Notamacropus eugenii: one gene and its partner. The protein of the gene in region 1 purifies or fractionates together with the protein of each later gene. This does not show direct contact. Links are inferred from orthologs where the notes say so. Each region holds a gene or a part of one and is shown in the gene's direction. Other genes may lie near its edges.

Region 1 (9,417 bases):
ACATCAAGCTAGCACACTGAATAAGAAAGCCAAGATTGAGACATTTTGACCGTAAGGTTGACTCTAATAAGATGAAATTGAGTAGAGATAAATACAGAGTCTTGCATTTGAATTTAAAAAATCAGCTTCAAAAGCATAAAATGGAGGAAGCAGTTGTTCTGAAAAAGATCTGGGATCTTAGTAGGCTGCAAGTTGAATAGGATTCAGCAGTAAGATGGGGCAGCCAAGAAAGCTCATAGGGTGATCTTGGACTGTATTAAGAATTCCATGCTTCCAATGACGCAGGCCATGGTGATTGTCTCTCTGTGTTCCACCATCACCTGACCTCATCCAAAGTATGGAGGTCCATTCTTGAGATCACTCAAAACGGAAGGATATTAATAAGCTATCGAATATCCAGAGGAGGCCACCATGATGGGGAAAGCTTTGGAACTAGGAATGTTTAGCCTGGAGAAGAGAACACTTAAGGGAGATATGGTGGCTGTGGAGTATTTGAAGAGGTGTTATATGGTGGAGTAATTCGACTTGTTCTAATTTGTTCTGCCCAGAGAGCAGAACCAGGAATTGTGAGGGGACGTTGCAAAAATACAACTCTAGACTTGATATCAGGAAAAACCTCCTCCCAATGGAAGCTGTGCAGTGGAATGGGCCATCTTGAGAGGGTCTCCAGGCAGAGGGTGAGACCACTGGTCAGGCTTCTTTTCATGCCTGTTGAACTAGATAGAGGCTACTGAGGTGCCTTTCATCTCCCTAAATCTGTGATTCTCTGATTTAAATTAGTCAGCACAATGAGGGGCCTGGAAACCACCTCCCAAGCAAGTGCTTGTCATGAGGTGAACACTTCACAAATGGTCATCGACTGCTTTACTTGACCTGCTTGCACAACAGTGAGGACTGACCTCCAAGGACATCTAAGCACAGGTGTAGAATATGAAGGAGAAGGGTGGAAGATGATGAACAGTACCACCTCAGAGAGCAAGAGTGAACACATGAGTCCTCACTGATAGGAGCCTTGCTCAAGCCAAGAACACCTACTGGCTGTCAGTGATAGAGCTGGATAATGAGGGAAAGACCACTGCACTTGAGATCATGAAACACCTGGGTTTGAATCCCAGCTCAGATGCTCAACTGGCTGTGTGACCCTGCCCAAGTCACTTAACCCAAGCCTTCTTTCTCTCATCTGTCCTCACTTCTAACCTAGCACTGCTCTCCACTCCGGAGACTTCTATGCCTCCCCCCATCTCCTCATCTGCCTCCCCAAGCAGGGAGATGCCTCTGCCCTGGCAGCCTCCTTGGATCAGTGAGTCGCTGCCCTGAACCTACATTTAATGGAGTGCCCAAACCAGCCATGGTTCCTTCTAACCAGGTCAACTCTGTTGTTCATTGAACATCTACACCTTGCCCCTTGTGGGAGTTCCTCCTTCTCCTCCCACTTCTTAAATTTTTTTTTAAAGCAATCAGGGTTAAGTGATTTGCCAAGGGTCACACAGCTAGTGAAACTGCAAATCTATTATTTACAATTTGCTACCCCTTTTTAAATATATAATAAAGTTATCAAGTAAATTCTTTGTTCCCCCTCCTCCTCTTCCCAGAAATGGTTACCATTAGACACTGGTAATCATTTAATATCATTTGAACCTCAATAAGGACCAGAGTCTAAACTAATCAACCAGAAGAAGCCCCGCAACCTGACAGATATTCTCCTTCTTACATTTCCTGTGGCAACAAGGCCAGAGAGAGCTAAGAGCATTTTCCTCTGTTTATGGCCACTAAGACCTTAACCCGAGACACTACCTGGAATAAAAGGACTTTTCTTATCTTAATATTTTATGGACATATACTATAACTATGTCAGGTTAATGATAAAGAAAACAGATATCCTGGGTCATAATTTCAATTGACACTGTCAACTTTCTTATCTTACTGTATTTATTACCTATTCAGTTATGAAAATTCCTTTTTCATACTATGGTTAAACATATTTGGAGATCATAAATTTAAGTGACGTAGACATCCTGAGTCGGAATTGTTCTAAAATGTATTTAAGTCTTCTCATTCTTTTTATCAGACAGATTTTATCTGGCTCTGTGCATGCATGTATTCTGCTAGCTTTAAGGGAATAAAATAACGTGAATTTATAAATCCCCTAGCCTGTTTGCCTCTTTTAACAAAACTTTCAGGTTGACAACACAAATATATATGTATATATGTGTATGTAAAATTTATAGATATATAACATGTTATATATATGTAAAATTATATATTATATATGTAAAATTATATGTTATATTATACATATTATGTATATGTAAAATTACTACATACTTGTATTTATCAGTTCTTTCTCTGGATGCAGATAGCATCTCCCTTCACGTGTCCTCTGTAGCTAATTTGGGTACTCATAATGGTGGAATACAATGATAAAAATGAAACAGTCCCTGGCCTCAAGAAGTTTACATTCTCTCAAGGGAGACCTCCATATGTAAATATATATGAAATGCATCCAAAATACAAACAAAGTAGTTTTGGAGGAGGGGAGAGCCAGCAGCTAGGGGTGTCAAGAAAGGATTCAAGAGGAAAATGGCACTTGTGTTGAGTCTTGAAAGTAAGGGATTCTCAGAAGCAGAGGTGAGGAGAAAGGGCATTCCAGGCATGGGGACCAGCCAGTGTAAAAGCCTAGAAACAGGAGATGGAGGATAGCATCCAGTTTGGCTGCTGGTAGTATAGGAGGGAGAGCAATATCCAGGATGACATGGGCTAGGGTCAGACTGTGAAGGACTTAAAAAGAAAAACAGAGGTTTTTCTATTTTATCTTAGATCAACAGGAAACTACTCCTAGTGTAGAGCGTGGAGGAGTCACATGAGCAGATCTCTGCAGAAGGAATATCCCTTGGGCAGCTTTGTGGAAGACACATTTGGGTGGGGGGAGACTAGAGGCCATTGTCATAGTTGTGGAGAAGAGATATGGGCCTAAGCTAAAATGGGGGCTTGTGGATACCAAGAAACAGTCAGTAATGAGGGATTGCATGGTGAGAGAAACAAGATTTGGGTTCAAACCCAGGAGAATAGAACTGAGACAATGCCCTCAACAGAAATTTGTGTTGCTGTTCAATGATTCAGGTGAGTCCCTTCTTGACCCTATGGCCCATAGCATGGCACAAATTGGAAAGTGACAAATCAGGGTAAGTTTGAAGGAAAAGATGAGTTCTCTTTTGGATATTCTGAATTTGAGTTACAAGGACATCCACTTGGAAATGCCCAAAAGGCAGTTGGTGATGCAGCATTGAGACTCAGGGCACTGTGACTTGGACATATAGATTTGGGCATCGCCTGTATAAAGACAATAATTAAACCGTGGGAGCTGATGAGGACCAAGAAGAGGACTAAGGGATAGAGGAGCAGCTACGAGTCAGGAATACTAGCTGTGTGACCCTGGGTAAATCATTTCATCCTGCATGCCTCAGTTTACTCATCTGTAAAATAAGCTGGAGAAGGAAATGGCAAACCACTGCAGCATCTTTGCCAAAAACCAAATCTATAGAGGGTCACAGAGAGTTGGACACAACTAAATCACAAATCCCTCTATTTCCTCCCAACTTCCAACGTCCTGCTCTAACGCCTCATCTTGGAGTGCTTCTATAAGTCTATGGCATTCTGTTGTGTTCCAAAGGCTTCAAGACCAATCCCAGTATTTACCACTTTTTTGGCTTTCTGAGGATCGGCCCAAGCGCAAGGCAGGGAGGGGGTCATCACCACCAGATTGCGTCCTTGATGAGTTCTTTGACTGTGACTAAAACCCGGGCAACCAGGAAAGGCACAAAAGAGCCTTGGGTCCTGTAAGCCAGCACTTGAAAAGTGATGGTGCAGGGAAGAGAAAGGGCGGCGGAAGGGGCTGGGGATCCCAGTTCTTGGGCAATCTGGAAGTCTTAGCTCAGTCATCAGTCCTTCAAATGTAAGCCATTTAAGGTGAGTCCCAGAAGATGGCTAGGTATGGATGGAGTGTGGCCTTCAAGACTTTTTGATTCGATTACCCAATGTATACAGTTAAAAACTGTAAAAATGTCAGGTATCACCATCTTGTTACATTCTGGTTTGTGCGCATGTAAGTCTTCTGCCCCCAGGATTACAAAGTATCTTATCCCCTGGGGAAAGGTTGCAGAATGACAGACAGAGAGCCTTTATTCCCTTTTTTCCGTGAAGGGACATGTACAAATATACCCCGGTGCCCGCTGTCTCTCCGAACAGCTCGGTGCTTCCATAGTGCGTGTGGATTGATTGGAGCTGAAACAACAGAACCTAGAACCGCAACTGGAGGAAAAGAAGTCTTCAAGACGCGGATGAGTGAAAGAGATGCAGCAGAACGGGGCAGAGGCCGGGCCGGGCCGGGCGGCGCCCGAATTCCACTAAGGGGGAGGCGGGGGACTGGGAACTTGGGCTTCCGAACCGACTCCGCGATGCCCGGTCCGTGTGAGTGCGGGATCTGGCACTGAGCCCCGCCAGGCGCAGGCAAGCTCCCGCCCAGGACGCCTAGAGCAGCCCTGATCCGCGGGGAGCCCGGCGGACTGAGCCGGTGGAGCGGGGCCCCGCCGTGACGCGGCAAAGCCGCGGGTCCCAGGAGGAAGGACCGAAGCAGCCCCGGGGACGTTGGCCGGTTTATGGCGGACCAAGGCGGGGAGAAGTGGTAGGGCAAGTGTGTCGTGACTCTGCCTCCGCCCCGGGATCGGCCGCGGCGCCCGCAGAGAGACCTGAGAAACGCCACGTCTGGAGGCAAGAGAACACCTGCAGGTGCAACCTCACCCCAGGAGAGTTCGGGCCTGCTGGTCAACCAGGGGGAGTAACGGTCGGGGAGCGCGTGCGTTCGGTTGTGGGACCAGACGACGAGAGGCTGAGCAAGGTGGGGATGGAGGGACGAGAGGAGGGAGGAAACGGAGGGGATGGAGGGGATGGAGGGGATGGAGGGGTGGGGGGATGGAGAGGATGGAGGGGTGGGGGGATGGAGGGGTGGGGGGTAGGGAGGAAACTGACGGGATGGAGGAGATGGAGGGAAGAGGGGTGGGGGGATGGGGGATGGGGGATGGAGGGGTGGAGAAGGAAGGAGGGCTGGGGAGTTTGGGAGTGTAAATGGGGAACACCTCGGAGCAACCCCGCTCTTGTTTCTCAGCAAATCCCATCCTTCCGCCTGGGGCCAGGGGTGCCCCTTCCCACCCCTCCCCTCCCCCCCCACCCTTCCCTTCCCCTCCCCCGCTCTCCTCTTCCCCTCCCCCGCTGGTCTTCCCCTTTAAGGCGGCGGGGGAGGGGGCAGCACCCTCCCCTTCCCTTTAAGGCCCGCGGCGGCGGCGATCGCGCAGGCGCGTGGGTGGGCGCGGGGGCTGCCGGGAGAGGCGGCGATGGAGGCTGCGCGGGCCGTGCGGGGCAGCTGAGGCCGAGGAGGCCGGGCCGGGGCCGGGCCAGAGCTGGGGTTGGGGCCGGGGTGCGCAGGTGAGCGGGGGCAGGGCGGGGCGTCGTTCCGGAGAGAGGACGGGGGACCGGGAGCTCCTCCCGCCTGTGCCTCGGGCGCCCCCTGCGGGGCGGGGGGCTCCCCGCTCTGGCCCGGGGCACCCCTCGGGGAACCGGCAGGGACCGGTCCGGGGCATCTCCGGGGGAGGCGGAGCTCCCCTCTATTACGGGGTGCCCCGGGGGAAGGTCTACACTAGGAATAACTCCACACCTGCTACAAGTTGTCTGCCGTCTAGAGGGAAGGGGTGGGAGTGGAGATCACTCACAAGAAGGGCCTTCATCCCTAGGGGATGGACCAGGCAGGTCGGTGTGGTCCCTAGGGCCCAACTGGACCGGGGATAGGCCCCCATACAGCCCCAACCATCGGGGGGCTCCTCCCCCCCATGCTCCCTCCTCAGGGTCCCGGGGTGGGGGCTAAGAGGCCGAGTCCCCACCGCATTGCGTCTGGGAGGGAGAGCGGCCGCTGGAGACGCCCCCTGGAGGCCGCTGCAGGAAGTCCGGCCGAGCCACAGGCAGGACCCCCCTCCCGGCTGGGAGCCCCCCAGGCTGTCAGAGCCCCAGAGTTCTCGTCCTCCCCCTGCAGGGGCCTCCTCCCAAACCCGAACCCTCCGACCATGTCCACCCTGGTGATGTCTCGGGAGGAGAAGCCGAGCCAGGATGAGATCGTGCTGGGCACCAAGGCGGTCATCCAGGGGCTGGAGACCCTGAGGGGCGAGCACCGCGCCCTGCTGGCCTCCCTGCTGGAGAATGTGGCCGGGCGGGAGGCCGGCGAAGCCGAGCCCGGAGCCCAGGAGCGCTCGGGACTCCTGCGCCGATCTCTGGAGGCCATCGAGCTGGGACTCGGAGAGGCTCAGGTACCCGGGGGCCTGGGTCTGGGGGAGGCGGGGCCAGGAGTCCAGTGCCCCTCCCCCGGGCCCCCCTTCAGCCTTCTCTCCTGGCCGAGGGGCCGTAGGTGATTCTGGCACTGTCGGGCCACCTTGGGGCCGTGGAGTCAGAGAAGCAGAAGCTCCGGGCTCAGGTGCGCCGCTTGGTGCAGGAGAACCAGTGGCTCCGGGAGGAGCTGGCCGGGACCCAGCAGAAGCTGCAGCGCAGCGAGCAGGCCGTGGTCCAGCTGGAGGAGGAGAAGCAGCACCTGCTGTTCATGAGCCAGATCCGGAAGCTGGACGACGACCCTTCTGCCAACGTGAGCCCGGACCCTCCTCCGGCTGAGTGGGCTCCCTTTTCCTGGCACCCCTCTCCCGCCCCACACATAACCTACTCAGGGGCTCCCGCCCACAGGGCCGACTCTGGATCCCCTCCCTTCAGACCCTCCTCCACTGCTTTTCTCCCTTGTGTGATTTTTTTCTTTCGGGTTGCTGATTCATCCCTCAGGAGGAGAAGGGGGATGCTTCCAAGGATTCTCTGGATGACCTGTTCCCTAATGAGGATGAACAGAACCCAGGTAGGGAGATGGGGAGAAGTGGATCTCTTAACTTTGGGCCCTGTGACTGGTCAGGAGGTCTCAGTCCATGAGGGTGACCACATATATGCTTCTCAGAAGCAAGGGGGAGGAGTGTGTGACTGCATTGCCTGAGGACCCAGAAGTATGCAGATAAGGGGGAACCTCCCAAGACTCCCAAGTATGTGCTGCTGACTCTGTCCCAACCCCAGAAGGCCCTGGGGCCACCTCTGAACTCCTGCCTTCCTCCAGCTCAGGGCTCTGGGGCCGGAGATGCAAGCACCCAGCACGGAGGCTATGAGATTCCAGCCCGGCTTCGGACCTTGCACAATCTGGTGATTCAGTATGCCTCCCAGGGGCGCTATGAGGTCGCTGTCCCCCTCTGTAAGCAGGCCCTGGAGGATCTGGAGAAGACCTCAGGGCATGACCACCCCGATGTGGCCACCATGCTGAACATCTTGGCTCTTGTATACCGGTAAGGGGACGTCTGGACCTTGGGGAAGGGGCAGCTAGGTGGTGAGGGGAATAGTGTACCGGACCTGGAGTCAGGAAAACTCCATGAGTTCAAATCTAGCCTCAGCCATGTGGCTCTGGGCAAGTCACTTCACCCTGTTTGCCTCAGTTTCCTCACCTGTAAAATGAGCCGGAGAAAGAAATGGCAAACCACTCCAGTGTCTCTGCCCAAAAAAAACTCAAGTAGGGGCATGAAGGGTCAGGCAAGACTGGAAAATGACTAAATGAGAGGCAGCCTTGGATTCTGTACAAAGTAGGCTCTCCATAGGATTGACCCTACCCCAGGTGAAGAAAGGAGGGGCCGGTGTAGGTGTATGAACCTAGAAAACCCACACTGGTGCCTGAAAGCCCCTCATTGGCTCATCACTCCTCTGAGGTCAGCCTTCCTCCCCTCGAAGCCCCTCACAGAAGCTGAAAATCTCCCTGTGGCCCAGCAGGCAGAGTCCTGGCTCAAACTGGCAGCAGCCTCATTTTATAGATGGGGAGCAGGAAGTTGACCAGCAGTCCTTCCCCTGCCCCTCCCCCACCTCCTTGTCTTCTCAGTGATCAAAATAAATACAAAGAAGCTGCCCACCTGCTCAATGACGCTCTAGCCATCAGAGAGAAGACCTTGGGCAAGGACCATCCAGCTGTGAGTGAGGCCCGGCTCCCTGGGCTGGGGGTGTGGGGCGAAGAGGACCCTTGGCTGGCCAGGCCTCTGCAGCCGTTTTCCTCTCTTTGCCCTGGACCCAGGTGGCAGCTACCTTGAACAACCTGGCGGTTCTGTATGGCAAAAGGGGCAAGTACAGAGAAGCAGAGCCCTTGTGCAAACGAGCCCTGGAGATTCGAGAGAAGGTAGAACCCATCTGGGGGCCCCTGTCTCCCTGGGCCTGGGGGAGGAGCTGGGGGGGGTGCGTCAGGGCACAAGTGAAAGGAGCCTCCACCTTCTCCTAGGTGCTGGGCAAGTTCCACCCGGATGTGGCCAAGCAGCTGAACAACCTGGCCCTCCTCTGTCAGAACCAGGGCAAGGCCGAGGAGGTGGAGTACTACTACCGGCGTGCTCTGGAGATCTATGAGGCTCGGCTGGGTCCTGATGACCCCAACGTGGCCAAGACCAAGAATAACTTGGTGCCTGATCCAAGGGAGGCACTGGGGAGGGACAGCCAGGGCGCACTGTGGGCCCAGCATGGTAGGGCGGCTGGGGCCTCACTGTCTCCCTGTCTCCCCCTTCCTCAGGCCTCTTGCTATCTGAAGCAGGGGAAATACCAAGATGCAGAAACCCTGTATAAAGAGATCCTGACTCGTGCCCATGAGAAGGAATTTGGCTCAGTCAATGGCAAGTGTCCCCCCAGCCCATCCTGCCCTTTGGAAGGGGATGAACCTTTTAACCTGGTCTTGGGGCTCCAGGGCCTTGTGACAGCCCCTCCTTTCTGTCTTCCCCAGGAGACAACAAACCTATCTGGATGCACGCTGAAGAGAGGGAGGAAAGCAAGGTATGGGGAAGGAGAAACTCAGAGCTCAACTCCCCTTGGGGCTTGGCCCTTTCCTTCCCCAAGGTTTCACTTTTCCTCCCCTTCAGGAGAAGCATCAAGACGCCACCCCCTATGGAGAATATGGCAGCTGGTACAAGGCATGTAAAGTGGACAGGTGAGAGGAAAAACTGAACCCTGGGGGGTCTCGGGGGCTGGGGAGCAGAAACCGTGAGAACCCCTGGCTCATGCCCATTTTCTCCAGCCCCACGGTGAACACCACACTTCGGAGCCTCGGTGCTCTCTACCGCCGGCAAGGGAAGATGGAGGCAGCTCACACCCTGGAGGACTGTGCCACTCGCAGTAGGAAGCAGGTTGGCACAGGGCCTGGGAGGTCAGGGTAGGAGGCATCAGGGGCTTCTCAGCTTCACCCCCACCTCACCACTCTCCTCCTATAACCAGGGCCTGGACGCCATGAGCCAGACCAAGGTGGTAGAGCTGCTGAAAGATGGTGGTGGGCGA
Region 2 (9,610 bases), on another chromosome or scaffold:
ATGGAATTGGTGGCAGTCTGGAAGAGCACACTAACAGAAAATGAGCAAACAAAAGGAAAGCTTTCACAGAGAAGATAGAGAACAATTTACATAATAACAATAAATTGTAAAGACAAGCCATCTTGAAAGATTTTAAAACTCTGATCCATGCAATGACCAGTCAGAATTCCAGGGGGTAGACACCATGCCACCATATACTGAAAGAGAGGTGGTGGTGGATTCAGGATGAAGAATCGGATATATGATTTTTTGGAGGGGGCTACTGTGGGAATTTGTTTTATTTGACTTCATATTATCACATTAAAGTAAAAAGATATCAAGCATCTATTTTCTCTTCCTCCCAGGCTCTCCCAACCGTCTCTCCCCCGCCACCAAGAAAAAAAAAACTTGTAACAAATAAGGGCTACGTATATTTGTTATAAGGGTTTTATCTTTCTCCCCGCAACGGGGGAAGAGGGAAAAAATTGCTTGTTAATTGAAAAAATAAAAAAGAGGGAGGTGGAGAGAAAGGAGCTCAGGGATGGAAGCCAGGTGCTAGGTGGTCAGAATACTCTCAAGGGTGCTACGATGCACAGAGGGTGGGTGGAGACAGACAGGAAGAGAGAAGCCTGGAGGGAGGATCTGACAAACCCTGGGATAGGTTTAAGAGGGTTTGAGATCGGGGTTTCTTCATCTTTTTTGGTGAAACCTACGAATCCACTCTCGGATTGGTTTTAAATGCACAAAATAAACACCTAGGATGACAAAGGAAATCAATTATATAAAAAGTCACTTATCAAACTACACAAAGAAAAAAAGAGCTCCTGGGCCCCAGGGTAAGGACCACTTGTCACGGAGAGGGTGCGGGGAGGGGCAGGAGCACAGCCTGCAGCTGAAGGCGGCCTTGGGCAGGCCCGGGGCACCGCGGCTGCAGGACTCGCCCGGGCGGCACAGGCCGTCCGGGAGACAGAAAGGACTCGGACTCGGCTCCGGCTCCACCTCCGGCGCTCCTGGCCGGCCGCACCCCGGGGCGGGGGTGGGGTGGGGCGCCGGGGACCGGGAGGGGGCAGCCCACCGGGGCCCAGGCGCGAGCCGGGGCGCTCGAGCCAGCGCCCGCGGGCGGGTCCCCGGCGACGGCCGAAGCAGCGCGGCCGGGAAGGGACCGTGCCGGGCCGCGGGGCGGGGGCTGTCCGGGCCCTCTACTCACAATGCCGGGGAGGTCGGCGTATTTGGGGTCCGCCATGACACTGGCAGAAGAGGGCAGGGAAGACAGGGCAGGGGGGATCCGGGGCCTCGGCGGGGCCGGAGCCGAAGCTCGAGCTCTGCCCGCGGAAGAAGCCGGTCGGGGGCCCGGTCCAGGGCTTAGTCGGATGCGGCGGCAGGGGCGGCAGAGGGGAACGAAGTCTCGCGAAAAGACGGCCGGGAGTCGGCAGAGCCAAGAGAGGGAGAAGCCGACCTCGCGAGAATTGAGGGTTCTTAGCCGCTGCCCCCCCACCAACCGTGAGGTAGAGGCAGGCGCAAACGAGGCAGAGAGATGAGGTAATGGGGGAAGAGAACCAACTAGGATTGTGGGATGTGTAGTCCGAAGGGTAGTCAGAGTGTAGCCTCCCTTGAAGATATTGAAACAATGTATCTTGTTATAGGATCATGGATATAAAGCTAGAAGGGACCGTGGAGATCATTTAATCCAGAGGTTTTTAACCAAAAAACAGCCTCCTTCTTTGGCAATGTGCGAGAGTCAAGCGCATTTATTTAGAGCCTACTGTGTGCCCACACGGGCTCAGTAAATAGATCATTGAGCCTGAAAGACCTCAGTTCAAATACCTCCTCAAACATTTACTGCAGTGTGACCCTGGGCAAGTCATTTAACCCTGTTTGCCTCAGTTTCCTCATCTGTAAAATGAACTGGGGAAGGAAATGGCAAACCACTCCAGTATCTCTGCCAAGGAGTCAAAAAGAGTCAGACACTACTGAACAACAAGAACATGTGCCCACAGCCTTGGGGATACAAAGGCAAAAACAGTCTTTGCTTTCCAGTAGCTCACAATCAATGTGGGTGACAATTTCAAACAACTATGTATAAACAAGATATATACAGCATGAGGAGAAAATAATCTGAGAGGGAAGGCACTAAAATCAGAGGAAATCTATGGGGCTCTCCTCAGAATGATGTTTTTAAATGAATAAAATAAATACATAGGATTATAAAGGAATTCCATTATAATGAAATACACTTATAAAAAGAAAAAGCTCCTTCATATTTAAAACTGCTGAGCTAGTAAAAGATGCTACCAAACTTCCTGACAAAAAGAGGTGATAAGACTCAGAGCGCAGACTGAGACTTTTTTTTTTAGACCTACCCAATGTGGGAATTTGTTTCACTTGATTGTACATATTTGTTATAAGGGTTTTATCTGAAGTTTAGACTCCAAACCCTTCCCATTACACAGGAGAAAACTGACCCGCTAGGTTAAGTGAATTTCCCAGTGACACACATAGGTAGTGGGGTGTGTGTGTGTGTATGTGTGTGTGTTTGTGGTGGCAAAGAACTGAAAACTAAGGAGATGTTTGTCAGTTGGGAAATGACTGGACAAGTTATGAGATTTGAATGTGACAAAACTATTGTGCTGAAAGAAACGATGAAAGGGGTGCCCAGAGAAATCTAGGAAGATGTGTATGAACTGATGCAGAGTAAATTGAGCAGAACCAGAAGAAGAATTTATGCAGCAACAATATTCTAAGGACAAAAATCTCAGAAAGACTGAAGAATTCTAATCAGTGAAATGACCAGTCATGATTCCAGAGGAATATTCCACCTGCCTCCTAACAGAAAGATGATAGTTGCAGAATGCAGATTGAGACATATATGTGCATGCATGTATGTGTGTACATATATGTGTGTGTGTGTATTTGACATACCTGATGCTGGAATTTGTTTCACTGAACTATACATATGTGTTATAAGGATTTTGTTTTTCTTTTTCACTGTATCTATATTTGGGAAGTGGGTATAGAAGGGAGAGAAGGTGGATTTTCATTTCTTTTTCTTTAAACAACCATGAAAGTCTTATGAACTCTTATCAGCACAATGACCAACCATGATTTCAGAGCAATGATCTCATCCACCTCCTGACAGAAAGGTGACTTAGTATTGCAGAATGAGTTACACATTTTTGGATATGGCCAATATGGGAATTTGTTCTGCTTGACTATGCAATAGTTACTATTAAAAGTTCCCTGATTTCCCCCCTCTCTTCCTAGTAAAGGGAGAAATGGCAGGGAGAATAAAATGCATGCTTAATTGAAAAAATAATTAATTAAAAAAATAAAATATTTAAAAAGAGGTAGAGCTGAGATTTGAACTGGTCAGTCCTCTGGCTCCATACCCAGCACCCTTTCCGTTGTATTCTATGGGCAGCAAATAACATGATGGTAGATCACCTGGGATCCAGGTGGTTTCCTCACACCAATTCTATGGTCTACATGAAACCTTCTTTAACTGATCTTCATTCCAGCAGCTTCCCTTGGTGCATTACTTCCTACTTATCCTATATATAGCTTGCTTTGTATTTATTTGTGTATTTTCTTCACCATTAGATTTTAAGCTTCTTGAAGGCAAGGACTGTCTTTTGACTTTTTGTATCCTCAGGTTTAGCACAGTGCTTTTTTGCACATAGCGTGTGATTAATAAATGTTTATTGATTGATAATTCATATAGGTAATTCATGCATTATTAGTCCTCATTTAACAGATAAGCAAGGCTGGATGCTTGTCATTTTATCATGCTGAAACCTTAAGAAATGTGACACAATTACTGACTGCATGAATGGAAATGTATGACATAGTAGAAAGAAAATTGACTCAGAGTCAAAAGATATGGGTGTGATTCCCAGGTACACTTACTAGTTGGGTGACCAGTGGGTAAGTTACTTTACTTTCTTCAATATAATGAGGACAGTAATGCTCATGTCACCTACCTCACAGGATTATGATGAGTAAAGCAAGTATAATTGTGAGTTGTTCATTACAATTCATCTTCCTATGTGGCTCTCATTTCTTTTTCATCGCTTTGTCCCCTTATCCTTTGCCCCTTGTCGTTGAGTCTTCTAGCCCTAGATTGGGTGGGGTGGTGAGGATGCTCAACCTGAAAAAATTCTTAGTTGTGTTCAACTCGAGTACCCCTACTCACCTTGATGCACAAGCTCATCATACACTGAGAGGTTCAACCACTCCTCTCCCCCTAGAGAATTTCAGAGTGTCCAGAGAGCCCTTTCCAGCTCCTGCAGTCTGACTTTGCTTCCCAACTGCCTCTCCTGCCTGCCAAGGCTAATGACGTCTAGAAAAATCAATCTGACTTGCCTCTTTATAGATCTGCTCAGGGGCTGCAGCAAGAGTCAGACCTGGGGGAAGGGATTTGAGGGATGATGACTGTTCAGGGTCTCAGAAAGGGAAGAGATGACTGCGCAGGGAAATTCAGGACACTGAACAACACATATACAGGCCATTCTACAAATGATCACTGCATAAGGCTCTTGTCTCCCCCAGCTTTCCTACTCCTCTGCCTGCCATTTGCATTTCAGTGCCTCCCCCAGCCCAGCCAGCAGATATGAGAACACCAGAGAATCAGACAGCATAGTGGACATTCAGAAAGATCTGCTTCAGTGCCTTCATTTTACAAAGGAGGAAAGGGAGGCTCAGACAAGGAGTAATGATTTGCCCAAGGTCACACACTCAGAGTCATAGCTAGGTATTTTTGTAGCTGGGGCAAATTCAGCTGGGGATGGAAGAGGGTAGCTGGAGTGGACAGCCTGTGTTTTCTCAAGGAGATGGGGAGAGCAGTACCCCTAGAGAGTTCAGCCCTCATTCTGAGGAAGTTGGGTTAGTCAGGTGGTCCATAGGGACTGGACAGGCCTGGGGACTGTTTCACCAGTGTAATGACTCTGCTGGGTCAAGGACCAGGAGGCTAAGACCGGAGGATTGTGGTTGCCAGAGGATGGCAGTTGCATTTGCAAGAGGATGCTGGTTGCACGGGAACTGCGGTTGCTGTGGAGAGGAAGCAAGATCCTCGACCACCATGTTTATGCCCTTGAACAAAACCCCAATCGCTCTAGTTCTGGCGCTAAGTGGCTCAACTGGGTTTGAAACTCAAGTCTTTTGACTTCAGTAACTCTCTCTCTTAAGGAGGAAGAATCAGAACCTGAACAATCCTTTCCTCAGGACTTTATTTACAAGCACACACACACACACACACACACACACACACACACACACACACACAAGTGCGCAGGACCTTAGAATGTTTTTTCTCCTCTGAACTCCCCTCGCCCCCCAATGTCTATCCACGAACTTTGCCCTTCCAGAGAAACGTCTATGGTAGTGGAAAGAAGAACATCCCGACAGCTCATGCTTTCCCTGCCCCGACCCCCATCCACCATGGGGTCTTGGAATGCACCTGCTAGGGGAAGGGCTGTTTGGTCTCTTTCAAGGACTACTCAGTTAGGAAGGGCCCTCACTACCCTCCACCAGTTTATACTGGGGAGGAGGGGCAGCTGTCCGGGAAGGAAGAGGTCCTGAATCTTGATCATTACGCCTTCCTCCATTGGGATGGGGAGCTTTATTTCTCTGCTTCCCTCCTCCACTCCTAGAGGGTGGAGCTGGGGTGGGGGGCGGGGATGTTGTTCTTCTGCAGCCAGTTCTTAGTCAACATTATCAAACTGGTTATCCGAGGGGACAAGGGTATCCAGGATTCAGTAATTATATGGGAAATGGGGGTATTTGGGGGGAAAGCCCCGGTTCCCTCTGGTGGGAACAGTCAGGAAGGGATGAATAGTTTATCTAGCAAATTAAGAAAGGGGGGGCCGGATCCTTTCCCATCAACAGCCCAACCCCTTCCACCTTAAGAGAAGCCCCGCCTCCTGCTCTCTCCCAGAATCCCCCCCCCCCCCAACTCCAGCAACCCCGCAGAGTAGAGCTGCAGCGGGAGGGGCTGAGGCAGAGAGGAAAGAGAGAACCAGAGGCGAAGCTGAGGGGGTTTTCTCTGAAAATCTCCTGAACCATCAGAGAGAGCTTCCCCAGCTCCTCTCCCTTCATCAGCCTTCCTTTTCCTTCTCCATATAGCATCAGTGCAGGAGATTGAGTCACTTCTGTTCCTCTCGTCTCTGCTGAGCTCCCCCAGCCTTTCTCCAAAGCGCCCCCACACCACCACCACCGCTACCACCACCGGTCATCACCATGACGGAAACCAACAATGAGTGCAGCATCAAGGTGCTCTGTCGATTCAGACCCCTGAACCAGTCGGAGATTCTGCGGGGTGACAAATTTATCCCCCTTTTTCAAGGGGACGACAGCGTCATTATTGGGGTGAGTGCCCACCAGAGGATGATGGGGTGCAGGGATGGGCATCCCTATAGGATATGTCCCAGATGCCAGAGTTAATGCTTGTTTTGTTCCTCCACTCATCCAACTCCTCTCTCCATTTCCCTTCACTCTCTGTTCTCCTTCTCCCTCCATCATCCCTCCATTCCTCCCCTTCTTTCTCCATTCCCCCCACTTCCGCAGCCCCTCCCTCCCCACTCAATCCTTAGCTCAGGCCTTAAATGGGTGTGGCCTGGGCTAGAATCTGAACTCTTGGTTCTCTGCCGAGATGAAGCAGGTGTATTTAATATCTCCCTTTTAACCTACACCCTAATCCAATCAATGATTTCGAATCCCGCCCCCCCTTGCAGTGTGCTAACCAGTTATACATTTATTCTCCCATTTTCTAATTCAGAGGTCAAGATTCTATTCCTAATCTCATCCGTACTCCCAGTTTTCACCTTTGTATCCCAACCACACCCCAGTTGAGACTAGATCTGCTAGGAAGAGGATCCTGGGTGTCTTTTGTTATGCTTAGTCTGCTCACCCCAGGGAGGCCTAAGGTGTGGGGCCAGAGGATACCATTCTTCGGCTCTGGGGATTTATAGACTGGAGGGCTATTTCCATCTCTCAGCCCCACTACTATCGCTTTAACTTGTCCCAATCACGGTTCTGAAGGTCACTGCTGTGTACCCTCCCACACCAATTTGGGTTGATGGAGGGAAAAAAAGCCTCTGAGGTAAAAATAAAAAAATTAAACTATTTGCAACCCCTTAGGACAGAACTTAGTAGGGAAAAGGATGCAGGATAAGGCATATTTAAGGTGCAGGTCCCTTCATCTCCTCAAAAAATAGCCAACATGTTCAGTATCCCTATCTAACCACATCTTTTCATAGTAACCAGTTTCATCACAACAGTCCCCACCCATGGAGGAGGAGATCAAGAGTGCACGTCATTCCCCTGCATCATGGCCTAGGTTTGATTCCTAGGCCCAGGCTCCAGTCCAAGTCTGGTAGTATCCTAAAGACTTCCCAAATCTTCATAATTCATGTCTGTCACAACTGGAATAATAAGGGCTGTGTGGTTATGGGATCCAGGTAACCCCTGAAATTGGAGAAGAATGTAAGGGTAGTAGAGCCTGAGAGCTGAAAAGTCTGAAGTGGGGGTTTAGAAGAGGGAAATATTAAGAGTACAGATATACTTGGGGGAGGGGTACAGCAACGATTGTCAGGATGTACTAAAGACAGAGGGAATGGAGTTTTAGATGAAAGAGGAATTGAGAGAGACAGACAGACAGAGACAGAGACTGAGACCCATTCTTCCCTGCCTCAGTCCTCAAGGACAACCAATTCCACTCTGTCCTTCCCCCAACTGGAGTCCTAACTGTTGACTCAAAAAGATGGATGCTATTTGCTTGTCATTTTAATGTGTTTATTTGGTGCCATGAAGATAAGGTCTGCTTTTCTCTCCTCATTTCCCACCCTCTCCTCCCCTTCCTCCCATCTTGACTGAACCCATCTTAAATAAATAAATAAATAAATTTAAATCCCTGCTTAGCATCTGGAGATGCTTTTCTCTCTTTCAGCAGCCAATGGTATAGCAGGAAGAACACTAGATTTGGAATCTAAGGAACTGTGTTCAAATCCCAAATCTGCCACTTATTACCTGTATGACTCAAATTTAACAGACTTCAATTTCCTTTTCTCTAAATGGGGGGGGGGGGGGGCGGTGCAGTGTTGTTGAACAAGGTGATCTTCAAGAGGAGACTGAATGACCACTTCTTGATACATTCCTGTACAATAGGATTTAAGTTAGACCACCTCCTGGCTTCCCTCCTGTGACCTTTAGGCTCTGCTCAAATTCCAGATCTTAGGATTCAATGAAACAGTGATTAACTATGGGCCAGAAGACATAAGGGAAAAGAAGGCTGTGGGAATATGGGTGGTTAGTGACAACGAGCACATTAGGTAGACTTTATAGACTTTAACCACTCTACCCCTGAGTTTAGTTGTTGCAGATGGATTTTTCAGATAATGTTGAACTAAACTTCTCTCTTTCTTTCATAATACTTCAGTGCTATGATTCTATTTAATTAAAAGGTAAGGAATGGGTTGTGTCTCCCAGCTTTCCCCAGTTAAGACAATAGATGATATATATTCAAAGAGGGAAAGAAGAGACACTTTACTGAGACCACCTCTGTCTTTTCCCTCTTTTGGGGGGCTTCAAATTTTCCCATCTGTCTCCTTGTTTCTCTCATTCTACAGGCTTAGACAGAGGGGTCATTTTGTCTCAGAAACCTTGGTAGTTCTGTCTCCCTATTTTACATCCATATGTCCTTGCACTGAGGACATGAGACCTGAGCAAAGAAGCATTTATGGGGCGATTAGGTATTTTGAGGGACAGTCCTGGCTTTGCCAGTAGGGAAGAGGGAATCTCTGTCCCTCTATCCTTATTTTGGAAAAGGCTGAAAAACTAATGTGGAAATATGTTTACCATGATTGCACATGCATAGCCTATATCAGACTGCTTGCCTTCTTGGGGAGGGGAGAGGGAGGGAGGGAAGGAGAAAGAAAATTTTGGATCTTATAAAATAATGAATATTGAAAAAATATGTAAAAAAGGAAAAGGTTGAGAGGAATGAATTAGGGGATGTTTTAAGATCTGCTGAAATGTAAGGGAAGATCATAGAAGGTATGTTTGTAGGGAAAAGAGAAGGATAAACTCCCTTGGCCCTAACTCCTTGCAACCTTCTCTCTTTGTAACCAGCATTACTTGGTCTCTGTAGACCTTTTGTTAAAAAAAAAAAAAGCAACCTTTTTAAATGACTAAGCTTTGGATTAGGGATTAGGGGACAATATTGTAAACTCTCTCTGTGCCCCCCATAACTCTTCCCATGGATCTGAGGGAAGGGTCATAGACAATATTCACAGCTTGTTTGATTTTAAAATGGTGTCGGAGTTACTGTGTGGTGTGCACTCACTCTGTGTCATTCATTGTTTCTCTGCGTACATGGATCCCTCTTACAGCTCTGATGGAGAAAGACCTGGTGTCTGGGGCGCCAGGCTGTCTAGGATGCATCTCTACCAGAATAGAGGTGGAGCAAACACAGGAGGAATGATAATTAGTCCCACATTCTAACCACCTTCCACACATATGTTCCTTTACTCTGATGCCTAGTAACTGCTTCTTTAATAGCCCTAGAAACTATCTACTCCCCTTTCTAAGAGTCTGTGGGGTATTTAAGATTGAGTTAGAAGGGAAAAGGAACATCTCTGAA

The links.
Region 2: the proteins of KLC2 (region 1) and KIF5A purify together in Homo sapiens (affinity purification with western blotting; 3 studies listed by BioGRID and IntAct, with this or other methods). This does not show direct contact. The link is inferred for Notamacropus eugenii from reciprocal best matches to the Homo sapiens genes KLC2 and KIF5A.

Annotation. Positions count from the first base shown.
Region 1 is NC_092873.1:18,868,600-18,878,016, forward strand, and holds the start of KLC2 (kinesin light chain 2), read left to right. Parts: upstream 1-5,750; 5' UTR 5,751-5,879; coding exon 5,880-6,350; intron 6,351-6,448; coding exon 6,449-6,679; intron 6,680-6,867; coding exon 6,868-6,937; intron 6,938-7,186; coding exon 7,187-7,409; intron 7,410-7,990; coding exon 7,991-8,078; intron 8,079-8,179; coding exon 8,180-8,281; intron 8,282-8,380; coding exon 8,381-8,554; intron 8,555-8,662; coding exon 8,663-8,762; intron 8,763-8,869; coding exon 8,870-8,919; intron 8,920-9,005; coding exon 9,006-9,073; intron 9,074-9,160; coding exon 9,161-9,269; intron 9,270-9,357; coding exon 9,358-9,417. UniProt on the Homo sapiens protein: Kinesin is a microtubule-associated force-producing protein that plays a role in organelle transport. The light chain functions in coupling of cargo to the heavy chain or in the modulation of its ATPase activity.
Region 2 is NC_092874.1:232,926,754-232,936,363, forward strand, and holds the start of KIF5A (kinesin heavy chain), read left to right. Parts: upstream 1-5,924; 5' UTR 5,925-6,210; coding exon 6,211-6,339; intron 6,340-9,610. Other genes in the region: DCTN2 (dynactin subunit 2), read right to left, coding at 1,187-1,222. UniProt on the Homo sapiens protein: Microtubule-dependent motor required for slow axonal transport of neurofilament proteins (NFH, NFM and NFL). Can induce formation of neurite-like membrane protrusions in non-neuronal cells in a ZFYVE27-dependent manner.